4 linked regions of the Macaca mulatta genome follow. The main gene of each other region encodes a partner of the protein of the gene in region 3 in a complex. Links are inferred from orthologs where the notes say so. Each region holds a gene or a part of one and is shown on either strand. Other genes may lie near its edges. The genes, in order: HNRNPH2, PA2G4, DDX5 and SRSF1.

The links.
Region 1: DDX5 (region 3) and HNRNPH2 share a complex: the UniProt entries of both Homo sapiens proteins name them as parts of the ribonucleoprotein complex. The link is inferred for Macaca mulatta from reciprocal best matches to the Homo sapiens genes DDX5 and HNRNPH2.
Region 2: DDX5 (region 3) and PA2G4 share a complex: the UniProt entries of both Homo sapiens proteins name them as parts of the ribonucleoprotein complex. The link is inferred for Macaca mulatta from reciprocal best matches to the Homo sapiens genes DDX5 and PA2G4.
Region 4: DDX5 (region 3) and SRSF1 share a complex: the UniProt entries of both Homo sapiens proteins name them as parts of the ribonucleoprotein complex. The link is inferred for Macaca mulatta from reciprocal best matches to the Homo sapiens genes DDX5 and SRSF1.

What each region holds. Positions count from the first base shown.
Region 1 is NC_133426.1:108,302,334-108,306,022, reverse strand, and holds the end of HNRNPH2 (heterogeneous nuclear ribonucleoprotein H2), read right to left. Parts: intron 2,793-3,689; exon of another isoform or gene 2,772-2,792; 5' UTR 2,719-2,771; coding exon 1,369-2,718; 3' UTR 552-1,368; downstream 1-551. UniProt on the Homo sapiens protein: This protein is a component of the heterogeneous nuclear ribonucleoprotein (hnRNP) complexes which provide the substrate for the processing events that pre-mRNAs undergo before becoming functional, translatable mRNAs in the cytoplasm. Binds poly(RG).
Region 2 is NC_133416.1:63,253,355-63,257,428, reverse strand, and holds the start of PA2G4 (proliferation-associated protein 2G4), read right to left. Parts: upstream 2,820-4,074; 5' UTR 2,624-2,819; coding exon 2,536-2,623; intron 787-2,535; coding exon 658-786; intron 379-657; coding exon 273-378; intron 180-272; coding exon 110-179; intron 1-109. UniProt on the Homo sapiens protein: May play a role in a ERBB3-regulated signal transduction pathway. Seems be involved in growth regulation. Acts a corepressor of the androgen receptor (AR) and is regulated by the ERBB3 ligand neuregulin-1/heregulin (HRG).
Region 3 is NC_133421.1:74,403,417-74,407,567, forward strand, and holds the start of DDX5 (probable ATP-dependent RNA helicase DDX5), read right to left. Parts: upstream 2,814-4,151; 5' UTR 2,584-2,813; coding exon 2,540-2,583; intron 2,518-2,539; exon of another isoform or gene 2,255-2,517; coding exon of another isoform or gene 2,211-2,254; intron 1,338-2,210; coding exon 1,172-1,337; intron 816-1,171; coding exon 719-815; intron 611-718; coding exon 477-610; intron 366-476; coding exon 300-365; intron 64-299; coding exon 1-63. Other genes in the region: CEP95 (centrosomal protein of 95 kDa), read left to right, coding at 3,587-3,605. UniProt on the Homo sapiens protein: Involved in the alternative regulation of pre-mRNA splicing; its RNA helicase activity is necessary for increasing tau exon 10 inclusion and occurs in a RBM4-dependent manner. Binds to the tau pre-mRNA in the stem-loop region downstream of exon 10.
Region 4 is NC_133421.1:51,982,145-51,986,399, reverse strand, and holds the start of SRSF1 (serine/arginine-rich splicing factor 1), read right to left. Parts: upstream 2,840-4,255; 5' UTR 2,637-2,839; coding exon 2,443-2,636; intron 2,035-2,442; coding exon 1,850-2,034; intron 1,483-1,849; coding exon 1,310-1,482; intron 1,127-1,309; exon of another isoform or gene 1,110-1,126; coding exon 915-1,109; 3' UTR 550-914; coding exon of another isoform or gene 511-549; 3' UTR 1-510. UniProt on the Homo sapiens protein: Plays a role in preventing exon skipping, ensuring the accuracy of splicing and regulating alternative splicing.

The sequences.
Region 1 (3,689 bases), on a different chromosome or scaffold from region 3:
CATACAAAGGTGCCTTCTAGTTTGTGATGAAATACAAAGGATTATTTATTCGCTTTCACTTCTTTGGATTTTAGAGAATACTATCTTGGTAAGTGGCTCCAAAAGTAGCTCAATAGTCCTGTAGACATGGTAAGTTTTTTTAAAAAAGAAGAAAATGTTCAACTTTAATATTAATCAAAAAAATACAAATTAAAATTGCAATGAGATATCATTTCTCAACTAACAGACTGGCAAAGATCACAAAGAATAATGTGCATCAATAAGGAGGGCATAAGGGGGAAAATAAAGCACACACTCCAGGTAAAAAGATAAAGTACCAGAATCTTGCTGGTAACACAAATCAGAAGCCTTAAAAATGAGTGTATCTTTGACTCAGCAATCCCATTTCTAGGGATATATCTTAGAAATAATTAATGATATATGCAACAATGAACATATAAAGATGCTAAATATATTGTTTATAATTTTAAAATTAAAAATTTTAATTTTGAGGGAATTATAAAGTCAATCAGCGTGCCCATATGACAGAACATAATAAAAATCAATCAGCACAAGATTTTTTCCAGTTTTTAAAAGGAAGATTTATTTAACAAGTTTCACTTAGTACAATACATCTAAATGGAAATCACAATACAAGGAAAGATTTAAACCAAAGCCTCAGAATTTCATACAAACAACACGACCAAACTTCTAAAGTATTGGTATTACATCTTAAAATTGTCCCGTATCCTTCAAAAAAAAAAAAAAAAAAAAAAAAAAAGTGTACACTCACGTGCCTTACAGGATATTAAACCAAAAAGCTAGAATTAACAAACATGCCAAATGTTTTCACTTTGAATCGTAGACACAGCTCCTATATTTGAGTTTTACAGAAAAGCATGTTTCTCAACATGCATCCGAAGTTTTCAATGTATTTGTGGTATAAGAGCAACATTTAACATAAGTGAAACTGCATTAACCTAAATACGCTTACTGCTTAGGTACACTCCTACAACATAACTAACTTGAGGAAAGCTAAAAATTGTTTTAACAGTTATGGTCAATACTGAACTTTGTTATTATGTCCTAGATGAATGTTTCAGTGTTCAAAATTACTGAGCTTGAAGTTTTAAAATAATCTCAACTTCCACTTTACAGTAAGCATGAATCACAAGCCTGTAATGCAAAACTGTTAAACTTAACTCTTGTTTTCTTAAAAAAGGAGAAAGAAAGATAAAGAAAGAGAAGCTGACCAAGAGTGATCAGAATCAATTATATTTCCCATTTACCAATCATACTGGATATACTAGACATCCCTCCCATTCTATTCAACTCCCACAAATGTACAGCTTTTATATATGGAGTAGCTGTTTGGTGCTCCTTCTCTACCTAAGCAAGGTTTGACTGATAGTCACTGGAATTTTCCTGCAGAACTTGGTCATATCCACTCATACTGCTCTGACCACCATAACCACCTCCATAACCACCACTCAGCTGCTGGCTAGCAGGACCTCCATAACTAGACTGGTTGGATAAGCCCATCCCTCCCATCATTTGGCTACCATAAGCCCCACCACTTGCCCCTGCTGTAGAATTCAAAAAAAGTTCTACATAGCTGTGATCGTAAGCACCCCCACTTGTTCCTGCAGTAGAATTTAAGAAGAGCTCCACATATCTATGTTGCATATTAGCTTTGTCTTTTGCCATAGCTGCCACAGCATCTTCATGAGTAGCAAATTCAACATCTGCCTCACCAGTAACTCTGCCATCGGGTCCAATTTCAATATGTACTCTCATGGGATTAAGAGGTGAGAAGAAATTATAAATATCATTCTCAGTGGCTCTGTAAGGTAACCCCCTCATGTGTACACAGTGCCCTGTGGTGCTCTGGAAACTGGACCCACCATCTCCATATCTATGATCAGACATTCCTGAAAAACAGTAATTGAGGTCTCTTCCAAATCTATCAGACCCAAAGCCATATCCATCATTATAGCCACCATAGTCATCATAGCCTCCATACCCTCCACCGTAGGCACCACGCCTCATCCTTTCAAACCCAGCTCCTCTGCCAATGCTATTATACCCTCTGCCAGCCCCCGGCCTATCATAGGGACCTGGCCGCTGCATAGCCATGAGCTTTCGAGGGGGATCATAGTGGGTTCGAACTTCAGCTCGGCTACTCTTGAAGATCTCAATGTACCTGTGCCCTATTCTTTCCTTGTGTTTCTTTAAGGCCTTCTCAGCTATCTCCTGCGAAGCAAACTGCACAAAGGCTTCCCCTGTGCTTCGCCCCTGAAAGTCCACTGGCAGTGTCATCCCATTTGGCACAATTTCCAACCCTGAAAAGAACTGAACAATCTCTTCCTTGCTACAGCCAAATGGGAGTCCTCTAAGCCGGACGAAGCCATCGTTGGCAGTATCAGGGCTATTCGGACCTGTATGCTTCAACACCCAATCCATTTCAACACTGTTAGACTTGAATACTTCAACGTATCTGTGTCCCATGGTTTCTCTGTCCTTCTTCAAAGCCAATTTCACTTCCTCTTCAGATTCAAGTTCAACAAATGCTTCACCACTTGGTCTGCCTTCTCTGGTGTAGATGAAACGAATACCTGATGTGCCATTTTGGATCTTGCAATCAGAGAAGAAGCGCATCACTTCATCGGCTGAGCAGGACCAGGGTAGGCCCCTGACCTTCACCACGAACCCCTCCCTGCCTTCCGTGCTCAGCATCATGGTGACTGTTGGGCTCTTGGTGGCAAGTTTGGCTCAATGCAATTTTAGTGTAGCTGAAAAAAAAAATTAGAAGACTACTGTCATGGAAAAATGCCCGTGATATAGTAAGATAAAAAAGCAAACTATTAATAGAAAATTCAACTATGCTGACAGCTTTTCTGTAAGATGTCTGTATAAACAAAGAGTTCACCAAATTTTTAACTCATTCATTTTTTAAGTTATTTATTCAATGCCTATTACATGTTGGATACCATTAAAAATTAATAGCAATCGGCCGGGTGTGGTGGCTCACGCCTGTAATCCCAGCACTTTGGGAGGCTGAGGCGGGTGTACCACCTGAGGTCAGTAGTACCACCTGAGGTCAGGCGGGTGTACCACCTAGAGGTCAGAGACCAGCCTGGCCAACATGGTGAAACCCTGTCTCTACTAAAAATACAAAAAATTGGCTGGGCGTGGTGGCAGGCGCCTGTAATCCCAGCTACTTGGGAGGCTGAGGCAGGAAAACCACTTTTATGTACCCAGGAGGTGGAGGTGAGCCGAGATCACGCCACTGCACTCCAGCATGGGCCACCAGAGCGAAACTAAGTCTCAAAAAATAAATAAATAAATAAAATAACATCAACAAATCAGTGGGATAGGTCAACAAATAAAAGATAGCTATATCTGAATATACACACATAAAAAACTTCACTAGATCAAAAGATTAAACAACAATTAAAACATTAAAACACAAACAAAACACAGGTTATATACGTTCTTTATATAATCTCCTTATATACAAATGTATGCAAATCAATAAAATCAGGGAAATATTTGGGCTTCAGAGATAAATGAAAAAAAGACATTATTGGGAATTCACACATTCATTTTAGAAATATTTTTTAGTTGCCATGTCCAATACTCAGCTCTGGCATACAAGAATCAATAAGCCCAGAAAGGGCTTATGATCCTACAGGAGCACCAAATATCAT
Region 2 (4,074 bases), on a different chromosome or scaffold from region 3:
TAGACACTCTCTTGACCTGCGTGGTGATTGGGGGTGGGAATAAGAAGGAAATAGCGGTGCATTCCCTACACCCCCAAGGCTGAACAGAGATCAAAAGCAGGCCACCTACCTGAGCTACACCAACCACAAAAGTATGTGCTACATTAGCGATGAAGCCATCCACATGGACCCCAAGGTCACTGAAAGGCAAGATCAGAGTGTACTGCATTAGGAACCGGCATTTTGTAAATGCTTTAAAAAAAGAAAAATGCTTTAAAACGGTTTAACCTTACATTTTTACCAAGTCACCTTCCTTGAGAATATAATCCTGGTCGCTCTTCAAAGGGGAGAAGTGACATACACAGTTATTTACCGAAATGCTGGTGGGAAAAGCAATACCTGTAAAGAAAAAATCATCAGCCTACTGCCTTGCTGTCTCCCAGAAGCCCTAGTGCCCTTCAGAAGAGTGGAAGGATTTTTTCAGGGTCTTGCTTAAGTTTCATCAGTTTGTATTAGGTAGGAAACTGCTTATATCCCACTTGTCATTCCAAATTTCCAAATATCTCAGCCAGAGCCAGGGTGGGGACTGCATCATTACAGTGAAAAAAATAAAAACATATAGGACCAAATAAGGGTCAAACAGGAAATTAGTGAGGGATTTTTTTTTTTTTTTTTTACCTTTCTTCATTTCCTTTTCTTTCTTGAAGATTTTCCCTGTTTCTTCCATAATCATGGCATCACCTTTCTCACACAGGCTCAGTACCGACACACCCGAGCTAGATGCTTCCACCAAGGACCGAAGTACCCCTGAGGACAGAATCCCATCATGTCAGCCTTGTATGTATTCATTGTCTAGTTACCTCCCAAGGAATACCTGGAAGTTGAACTTAAGAGTTTCTAATGCTCCCTAGTGCCATTGCCCTGAGGCTGAAAGGTCAACATTCCCTTCTCTTCCTTACATTATGTGACAACTGGGTATATGCAATCCATCTCCTTAGGCAAGGCCTCGGACTTTCCAAAGATGCTACCTTTGGTGTGACAGGACAGAGTTATGAACTTCAGAGAGTTCTTGCCATGGTATCCCCACATACATGGAAAGACTAGATGAAATTTATAGGCATCAGGGACAGGAATGTAGACAGAATTGCTGACTCGAAGCTGAAGCACTGTTAAATGTTACCGCCTTCCTTTCTCAGACACTCTAATTAGGTGTTAGGAATCTCAATCTATGTAGACTTAATTCCTCATAAACAAGTGTATAAGCCAAGGGGACTTAATCTAAGGTCCCTGGGTTTCATTTTGGGGGATCATGGCTTATCTCAAAGAAATATGAGGCCAAAGTTATAAACTGTAAGAAAGGGATTTTCTGATTCAAATCCCTAGTATCTCAAATACTAAAAGGCACCAAAACCAGGGTACTATACTAAATGTCCACTGTGATATAAAGCACAGGTTTGAGTTTTGAAATCTCAGTTTTGGTGATTCTTTGAAAGCGGGTAAAACTCAGATTTTCACCCACAGGATGGGAGGCATCCTAAATACCTCTTTCCCACCATCTTTGCTGTTAAAACCATTTAAAAACACAATGACAAGCAGTTTGTATCTCCCTAACTGGGTTTTAAATAAAATGGAAAGGCTAACTAGAAAGAGAGAAAAGAGAAAGTGACATCGCCTAGAGTGGCAGGCAACTGCTGAGATCCTCAGAGCACAGCTGGAATAAGGATGACTTGTGAAAATCCTAAAATCAGTCCTCCCTTTTCCAGTAATGTTCGCAAGCTTGCCTAGTTGGGATAAGACGGAGACCCCAAAACATTTGAGTTGTCAAGTCACTTTGAACAACAAATGTGAATGCTAACTAAGGCTATCTGCACAGATTGGAAAGGTAGTAATAATGAGTAACTTCAAGAAAAGCCATATATATCTCCAAAACTTGTGTTAGAAGCTCCAGGAGTGCTCTCCAACGGTCCCCTTAGCTGGCCCAAGGGTAGAAGGGGGCCCCCACCAGGGTAAGAGCTGAAGAAGGAAAGGCTCCAGCAAAGCACGTGGTGGGGAAGCTGGTGTCAGGGACAGTACTGGAGGAAGAAGGGGGCCAGCCATCCGCAAGGGGACCCAGCAACACGTGCCGGCTCGGCTCCTGACGCCCCGCAGACGCGACAAAAACAGAGGGGCGCTTCTGTCGCCAATAGCTGGGCGCTTCCTTTTCGAGGTGGCCTCGCCGTTGCCAGAATCAGAGGAAGCAGAAATCGGGAATGAAGGATAGGAACAAGAGAAAACACGTCTTGCCTCCTAACAAACGGCCTCGGGTCGGAGCCTGCCAGGTTACCCTCTCTCCGCTCATCCCGGTCGCCGACCCGCACCTCCATAGACTTCAGCCTGGGCCTGGCCGCTCAGGTCCCAGGAGCGACACCGGGTCTTCCCACCACGCCGCCCCCAGCGGACTGGTGCGGGCCCCTCAGTAGCTCAGTTCGCATGACCCCTCCGCTCCAGCCCCTTCAGGGCCAGCCTGGCACCTTTCCCTGTCAGCCTTGATTCCCCGACCCCCGAGGTCGCACTCACTGTTGGCGATGTCGCCCCCCATCTTATACTTGGTCACGACCAGGTCCTCGGCGATAGTTTGCTCCTGCTGCTCGTCCTCGCCCGACATCTTCCTACTACCACCACTGCAGCCTCGTTTCCCCTGAGCCGCCGCCGCCTCTGTCTCCCTTCCCAGCCACAGGCTGTGGCCAGAGTCCCCTCGATCCTCGAGGAGAGGGCGAGCGAAAGCGCGAGCAAGCAAGGGAGCAGGCAGGCAGGCGAGAGCGAGAAGCTGTGAGCGCGCGGGCTGAGGCGCAGGGCACGCTGGGAAAACTAGTCCTCTCCACCGCCAGCCTTTAGCCGCCCTCGAGGGCTTTCGAACTACAATTCCCAGCCTGCCGCTCACGCTCCTAAGCCAGGCCCTGGGGCCTTGCCCTCCAAGGGCCTCGCACGCCGGAATCGCCGGGCACGCTGGGAAGGGTCAGGCTCCGGCGGGAAGGCGGAGCCGTTGGGGAGCTTGAGGGGAAGCGTGGTCTCTCCCGGAAAAACCACTTCCACCGAGAACGCTGTGCGAAAGCCAGTAACAGAGGGGCGGGCTGAGGGAAGAGGGGCGGAGCTACGGCGGGGAAATAGGTTTAGAGTCGAGCGAGCAGGGGTGGAGTAGAGTGGAGCCGCGGCGGGTGGGCAGTGTCTGCACCTAGGGCGGGGAGGCTGGGTGCGCCCTTCCTCGGATACTTGGGTCGGCTGGCGAAACCCGCCCAGCCGGTTCAGTCGTCCTCCGAAGCTGGGAGAACAGGGAGGGGCAGACAGGTGGAAGAAGACCAAGGGTGCTGGGAACGGGGGCCAGCTGCGCAGCCGGACACCGGAGGGATCATCCATTTAAAGGCCTCGTAATCTAGAGGCCGGACTCCTAATGAAGTAACATGACATTATTGTTCCAATAACAGGCACCTGGATGGGGCACCTAAGGGAAGTGTTCAGAAAGACATGTTTGTTGAGAGTTCTTACCGTGAAAAAATAAAAAGATTTGGTGACTTTTCTAAGATAATGAATTCAGAAGCATCTGGAGGTTTCAGTATTTGGCCTCTGAAGGAGACTGGACACGTATAGGGCTTTTTATAAATCTTCAAGCACGTGGGTTCTTTTTGTTATTCCCAATTGGTTGCCTTGTAGATTTCTACTAAAACCCTTAATGAAAAGGACTATGCGCTATGCTTGTTCTAAAGAAATACCAAGTAATAGTAGGACTAGAGAAATCTACATGGGACAGAGTAGCACTGTCAGAAGACAGAAAGGTGACTATCCACTGCTGAGGAGCAGATCTCTTATACGAAATGTTTTCACTTGACAGACAGGAAGCTGAAAAAAACTTTGGCATTTTTATTCAGACATGTATAAAAACAAAACAAAAAACTTCAGTGATACAACAGACATTTTCCCTCAGTTCCCCATCCAAGGGGACAGAGGTGTGAAGCTGAAGCTGGATCTTCTTTCTGTCCTACCTGGAAGCTTCTCACTGCTAGATGAGAAGGGCTTCTAAAAGGGGATCTTGGGGATAAGGAGTGAAGATCATATACAGCA
Region 3 (4,151 bases):
ATATTCAGCAGCTACTTGCTGCACCTGTTGGGCCAGTTCCCGAGTTGGTGCCAGCACCAAACACTAAGGAAAGAGAAACAGCTTTCAGCACAAACCTGGATACTAGTTTTAAACTATTAACTTATTAGTTATGATGGCAGATCCTTTCTTCATGTGTTGTCCAATACCCAAAGCAACTCCAGCTGAATAGGGTGAGCTAACCTCTGTATAAAACCACCACAAATAATTACATCTTTTGCTATGTAGTCTAAAAATCTATATATTACACTTCTAATAAAAAGTTAAAAATATATACTTACAATGGGCCCATCGCCTCTCTCTAGGAATGGCTGATGATTGATGTGGACAATGGCAGGAAGCAAATACTATTTGGGGTGAAGACGGGGACAAACAGAAATCACATTAAAATACTCTTGTTTTTAAATTAGCATTCCGTTTTCTTGCACATATTACATCAAGAGTTCTCTCAAACTTACAGACAATGTTTTCCCAGATCCAGTCTGTGCCACTCCAACCATATCCAATCCACTTAGAGCAACTGGCCATCCCTGAGCTTGAATAGCAGTGGGTTCAGTGAAATTCTGTCTTGCAATAACATCCATGACATTTGCTATAATTAGTGACAGATATTTAACAAAAATTAGTGATGCCAAGGAAAGGAGGAGGTAGGTGAAAACAAAAACACAGGGGTAGGGTAGAACTGAAAAGTAGCACTCACCAGGGAAATTAGCTTCATAAAAATTTAGAACTGGCTTCGGGCAGTTGTGACCTCTAACTGTAATTTCCTTGCTTCTTCTGTATGTTTCCACCTCTTGCTGCAAAACAAATTATAACAGTCTTAAAGCTCATGACAACCACCCCTAACTAAATACGTAATTGGCAAGCCCGTAACTTCATAATTTAGTAACTAGTTTAAAGTAGCTTCATTTTAATCTGGAACCGCGTATGAAAACCCTATATGACAAAAAAACCGTTTATTCTGCTATACTCAATCTAAAAAAAAAAAATTCCCAAAGCCACCTATTTGCAAAAGTGAGTCACACCTTTCCCAATTACGAAGTCAGAAAACGTAACTCTACCAAAATTGAGTTATTTGCAAAACACCTGTCAGAATTTCATTTACTAGACTCCATTGAGTTACAGCCTGATGAAGCCACATGAATTTACTCACTGCTGTCCGCCTAGCCAAATCAGGGTGCTCTTGATAGAAATTCTTCTCAAACTTGGGCAGCTCATCAAGATTCCACTTCTTTTTAACTAGTTTCTCCCCAGGGTTTCCAAACTTCTTTCCAGATAAGGGCCCCGCCCTACTTCCTCCAAATCGAGGTGCACCAAACCTGGAATGAAGAAAAAAAGTTATTTACATTTTCAAATGGCTACACCTAGGTTTCTGGACAGATTTGTTTACCATCCCTTGGCACAAGCTAAAGATCACTGAAAGCCGACTTCGAGAGGTAAACCTAGCACTGTCCTTAGTGATAATCTCTCTCTCAACAGCCACAGTTAACGTTTCCCGTAGTCCCAAGTACACACAACTTAGGCCACGTAAACAGCCTGGGATTTACTATATCGAAAACTTGTCACCCAGATGCCAGAATTTAGTATTACACACCACTTCTTGTGGTTACTATTATCTTTCTCACCAGTCTAGCAATTCATTATCAGTGATAACAAGCCTACATGAACCGAAGAGCATCACAACGATGTTACTCATATGGCCGTTTTCAAGCCAAAGAGCTTTGATGTCAACAATCTAGACAGCACAGACAACGAAAACGAAACAACGGTTTAGAAACACTTCTGCTAGCAAACCGAGCTGGGGGGACGCCGCGGTAGAGCTCCGGATCAACGAATTAAAATTATATAACGCAGGAAAAAAGAAAAGGAGGAGCCGGCGACTACCGGGGGAGGAGTCCCGGCCCGGGCGGAGCCGGCCGGGCGGCGTTCCCGCTGGGGCGGCGCTTCCCCCTTTGTCTCGCATTTCTCTCTGCGCCACATTTTCTCGACGCTGCCATTTTGAGCTCCTCCGCCGGGCGGAGTAACAAAGGCGCCGCCGCCATGTCCAAGGCCGGCATTTTATACCCGCGACTCAGCCACATGGCTGATGCCGGCCGCCCTCCTACCCCCACAGCACCAGTGGCTTTGGAGGTGGTCCCTTCGCTCCCACAGAATGCCCGACCACCCCAAAAACACCTCCCGAAAGGCCGCACCTAACAGCTGTTCCTTCGTCTGCCTCGAAGCGTCGCGCTTTCATCCGAACAATGCGCTCCCTCTGAATTCCCTCAACAGCTACCAAATGGCAGCCGCCCCGACGGCTCCCCGACCCCCACACAAAAAGCGAGGATGAAGACACTATCCCGTCAAATCTCTCCCACTCACTGTTACGTGAATATCAAAATGGCGCAAGCCTTCGGGAAAGGAGGCCCCAAGATAGCCCGGAAAGGCCGAGTCCAAGCCGCAAAGCCCCGGCCCGCCGCCACCCTGACCCGCCCTCCCATCCCCCACCCGCCAGCCCTGACAACTCGGCTCCCACACTCACCCTCGATCCCGGCCGCGGTCTCGGTCACTCGAATAACCCGACATAGCGTCAATGGTTGCGGTTGGCGGGGAACGAAGTAGATAGAAAAGGGTGCGACGAGTCGCTGGAAATGGCTTCGGCGACGGCGAAGCCTTGCGGGGGCGGCAGCGGAGGAGTGACGGCGATGACACCAGCCAAAGCTGCACACCTAGAGACCGGTGGAAATGAATGAGGTGCCGGCCGCTTTCCGGCAGCCGCTTTTATAGTCTGGACCTCCTCCTACGCCGCAAGGCACGCTGGGAGCCGCTCTATGACCTAATCGCCCCGCCCCTCGCGCAGAGGCCGCAACGCCCGCCGGCGTTCCGCGATCGCCGCGCTTTCACCCCACCCCGTGCCGCTCTCTCAGGTCAGGGCCCACCCACCATTGAAATGCCTCATTCTCCACTCTCTTGACCTCACCTTCTTCTCGTCTTTCCACACCTCAAGAAAGCCACCCTGCCCTTTCCCAAGCCCAGCCAGACGATAAAACAGCCAGCCCAAGCCCGCCCACCCTCCCCACTCGGAGGTGTTTACGTCTCCAAAGAGCCCTCACGCCTGTAACCAAATGAGAGGGAAGGCGGGGGCCTGGCGTTGTCACGTGACGTTACCCCCCCACCGCCCACCGTGACAGGGGGCCGCACTACTTCCCCGTTGACGTCGGCGGAGGGATACATAACGAAATAGCTCACCGGAAGTGCGCTGCCAGCACCCGGGACCCGCCCCCAGCTGCCGGCTAACTTGGACCGTCCGACCCACGGGTCTGACAATCCTGTGACGGGTTTTGGCCGGCGGAGAATGGTCTCTAAACTTCCCAAACCGCTTCCGTGGCACGTGCTGTGAAAGGAAGTGCTCCTCTGATGACCAATCAGCGGCGAGAAGTTCTTTTAACGTCCCTCCCTCTTTCACGCCTCCTTCCCCGCGCTTTAGTTCGTGCGCCCGCCCCCCAGCGTCTGCTCTGCGTTCGGTCCTTGCAGGACACCGTCGCCGGTCTGGCAGCGTCGGAGTCCGGCGGCGACCTGCTTCCGAGACATGGCCCGCTCGGAGGCTGGTGAGTGTTTCCCTGGGGTCGCGGTGTGTGTTTACTGAAACTGTCCACCTTCAGGGAGGCCTCGGGCTAGCCCGGACTGGGTCTGGGGTGTCGGCGGGGCTCGTTACTGTCAGACGCTGCGTCGCGGTGGCGGGTTCTCTGGATAGGGTCTCTCAGCTTCACCCCCTCTTCGCTTTGAGGCCGTGGAACAGCAGTATGAGGTGGGAGAGAGGCACTGGGGCGAGGCCGGTAGGACGCTCGGGTCCTGGCTGCAAAAAGAGCAGTCAGAAGGGTCGTCCTCGGACTTGTCTTTCTGTGGGGCGTCTAGCCGCTGTCCATGTGCCCTCCTCCCTTGCACTATGGGCCCTGAGGTCGTACCTCCTTTTGTAGTGGTCTTTAAAGGAACGGCACTCTTAAGGTTTATTCATGCCCCTGCCACAGAAGAATAGTGGTGCTTTTTTCTCTTCAGTGCCCTCTAGAGTCATGGGCTTTGTCTAGCACCGCTTTTGAAGAGCGAATTAATTTGGTTGTCTAGGACGCTTTCATCCTTTTCACTAGGACTGCGTA
Region 4 (4,255 bases), about 22 Mb from region 3:
TTTGTCTTAAAAAAATGAAATAGCAACGCTCTATCAGTCACACAGAGGACATGCAGATTTAGCAGTATTGATATTATACTCTATCTTGTTGGATTTAAAGACACCCTGTACCCACATGTACACCAACAGCAGGTCACACATTAACAGTTGTAACTAAGCACTGTGACAAATTAGCCAGTTCTTCCCACATTAGTCCCTATTAAAACAAAAATGGGGGGAAGGGAGCAAAATAAGTTGCTACAAAATGGGCAATATAATTTTGCCACAATTGCCAAGGTTTAAAGAGCAAAGCAATTGTAGCTAAAGATAACTGAATAAAATGTTTGCAAGTGTTTTAAGGAAAACGTATATAATCATTTTTAACCCCTGCCTTTTAGTATAAGGTCAATACTGCCAATTTCATCTGTGACAATAGCACTTGGAGTCATACCATTGCCTCCATTATTGATCTGATCCTCCTCAATCCTCCTTTTGACAATCCTAAAATGATTGAAATGTGCTCCACAATCCTTAATCCAAAGCATTCTTAATCCATCTCTTCAGATATGTCTACAGAAAGACACATGAAAAGCAAGATAAACATAAGAACTTCCCCAGGTAAGATAACCACAAACACCCCCAACATCCCAGTTCACACAAACCAGGGCAGAATAGACATTTACACAATATCACAGTCTGAAGAGTATGGAGTTAACTAAATTTAAACAATCCTGTCTATGACATCACTTAAAATACAATTTATCGAAGACACGAGGGGAATGTAGATGTTAGGAGCAAGGGGATATTACAAGAATGCAATTCAACACTTTAGCCCATTCTGAACAAAACAGTTTGAATTAAAAAATGAAAAGATTGTACTGAATAAAGGAAAACTGTATACAACATGGGTTCTACAAAAAGTGTCACCAATCATCTTATGTACGAGAGCGAGATCTGCTATGACGGGGAGAATAGCGTGGTGATCCTCTGCTTCTCCTTGGGGAGTAACTGCGACTCCTGCTGTTGCTTCTGCTACGGCTTCTGCTACGACTACGGCTTCGAGATCGAGATCTTCCATAACTTGGACTTCTGGGCCCATCAACTTTAACCCGGATGTAGGCAGTTTCTCCCTATTGGATAGACAGAACTTTCCATTGAAAGATCTAAGCTTTCATCTATCTTCAGGCATGCTGAATGCATACAATGCAACTACAACCAGAAATCTGGCAATTTACTTGGACACCCTTGCCTGAATTCTTACCTTCAAATTCCACTGTTAAGACCACTGTATCCAATTCTGGTCAAAGAAAAGAATAAGCGTATAACCTACCTCATGAGATCTAAACTTAGTGTTATCCAGTTTTCGAACTGCATAGGTCATATCTTCTTTCCGTACAAACTCCACGACACCAGTGCCATCTCGGTAAACATCAGCATAACATACATCACCTGCTTCACGCATGTGATCCTTTAAATCCTGCCAACTTCCACTTGGAGGCAGTCCTGAAAAAGTGATTTTTTTTCTTAGTATCAATTATCTTAAATTTCACGTTAAGCTGGTAAGGTACATTAGAACAAAGAGTACTTTAAAATACTTAATAGGTGTACTTAAGTGATACCAGGTAAAGAGCTGGTAAGATTCTGGGATCCAGAGTCCAAAATTATTTGTAACGGATCTTCGTATCTAGTACCGCAACCTAATTTGGTAAATCACCACAGCAGCAATCCTCGTTTATTAAATTCACCCAAAAACTAAAGCAATTTAAGACCTAGCATGAAAAATTTGCAATTGTTAAACCGATCATGCAAGACAAAAATTTTAGGTAGCTTCCGTCCCTTCACATCAATCCACACAACCAAGTACACTCACCAGAGACAACCACTCTGTTTTCAGACCGCCTGGATGGGGGGCCATAGCGACCTCGGGGAGCTCCGCCACCTCCACCCCCGCCGCCGCCTCGGCCTGTTCCACGGCCGCTTCGAGGAAACTCCACCCGCAGACGGTACCCATCGTAATCATAGCCGTCGCGACCATACACCGCGTCTTCCGCGTCTCTGCGGGATCGCAGAAAGTAAAAGGCATGAGAAAGACCAGGAGGAGAAGCTCGCTCAGTCGGGAACCCCCCGCACATGCGCACCCAACGTGGAAGAGCCCACATGCGCCGCATAATAGGAATGGCCCCTCCCCCACCCAGAAACACGCCAGGCTCCCAACCACTACACCAGCCCTCAGCGCCTCAGTTTCCCGCTCCAGCCTGCGAATGGGCTCCGGGGACGTCCAAGGCGAGGCGCCAGAGAAGCCACACCAACTCAGCTCCTTACTCGACTCCTGCATGGGCGATACAGTCTCGCCCCAACCTCTCTAAGAGCCCCCGCTTCCCCGTTCTCTATGTTAAGGCCTTGGAGCCTTCCCCGACTACTCGGACCTATTTCCTCAAGGCTGCAAGCCCCATGCCGCCTCACCGCGGGTCCTCGAACTCAACGAAGGCGAAGGGCGGTCCCCCGCGGCGATTCTTGAGGTCGATGTCGCGGATAGCGCCGTATTTGTAGAACACGTCCTCAATGTCCTTGGTTCGGATGTCTGGAGGTAAGTTACCCACGTAGATGCGGCAATCGTTGTTCCCTGCGGGGCCACGAATCACACCACCTCCCGACATGGCGGTGACGAAAAGCGCGGACTCGAGAACAGGCCTTCCCACCAAGCCTAGCGCACCGCAGAGCGAGCCCGCAGCGGCACCACGTCTCCCGCGGCCCCTCCAAAATGGCGCCTTTATCAGCTCGGCGCACGGATATGGGGGGGAGACAGAGGAAGAGAAGCGGAAGGAAACAGCGATTCGATCCCAACACGCACGCGCGGGAGCGCAACGGGTGCTGCGAGGGATACGCGCAACGCACGCGCACGCACGCGCGACGTCACCCTCCGCACGAAGGGGGAAAAAAAGTCCCCCGCGTTCCCCGCTTGGGGTGGTTTGCGAATAGAGTGAGCAGCCGTTTGGTAAAAGTTAAATAAAGAACTCTCGTTAAAGGAGCTAGTCATCCAGGTCGAGTCTTGAAGGATAGTCAATTTCCCCAGGAATGAGGAGCTTTGAAAGCAACTCGGCGCCTTCAAAGGACTTGGTGAAACCTAGCCTAAAGCCTTGTCCCACCATGCTCTGCGGCGATAACGGCCTTTGGCGGGAAAGAGACTCGGAGGCGGGGCTAAAGGGGGAGGGCTCGGGCCGTTGCTCCGGAAACCCGGGTATCTTCGTAGAGTGCGTCTAGTCCAGAGCTGAGTTGCCGGTGACTGAATAGAGAGCTGGGGCGTTGGTTTGTCTTCCCGCCCCTGCTGCGAACAAGCTGTGGCTGCTTAGACAGATGTGTCTAATTTAGCGAAACCGGTTTAGATTCCTTAATCCTTTTCATTAAGAACCATTCCACCTTCTCGTCAGAACTTTGCATAGCTCAGTTCAGCACTCTTTGTGCTAGTCGCAGTGGGCCCGTACCCCGACCTTTCAACGTGGTACCCGCCAACCAGAAGGGGTAACAGTACTGCTTCTGGTACCCACACCTCTTTATCTCTTGTTAATCGCCTATCCGTGGGACTAGCGCAGATTGCCTGCAGAATGAATTGTTTCTGTTGTTTCCTTTTAAAGAACGAGAAGGAAGAAAAGGTGCGTGTGTGCAGTCCTTTTTTCAAAAGTTTCCTCTAAAAGTTACTGAAATTGAAAATACCGGTCCTCCCAGGTAATAAAATGGACCGAAATGGATGAGAGCCGTGTCCACTAGAGACCGCGGTTGCTATTCAGGACTGTGATCTTATTTGCCTGCGACATTGGGAGATAACATTTTACATTTTTTTTCGACGTCTGCAATCTGGATTTTTATGTGAAATCCTGGGATTTTTAAACGTCGCTAATGAATTCAAATTAAAATTAGGCTGGGCGCGGTGGCTCACGCCAGCACTTTGGGAGGTAGAGGCGGCAGATCACTTGAGGTCAGGAGTTCGAGACCAGCCTGGCCAACATGGTGAAATCCCGTCTCTACTGAAAAAAAAAAAATTAGCCGGGCTTGGTGGCGGGCGCCTGTAATCCAGCCTACTCGGGAGGCTGAGGCAGGAGAATCGCTAGAACCCTGGAGGTGGAGGTTGCAGTGAGCCGAGATCGCGCCATTGCGCTGCAGCCTGGGCTACAGAGTAAGACTCCTCCTAAAAAAAAAAAAAAAAAAAAAAAAAAAAAAAGGAGGGGGAAACAACAACAAAATCAAATCCTGCAGTCATAAATTTGCGATAACAGATCTA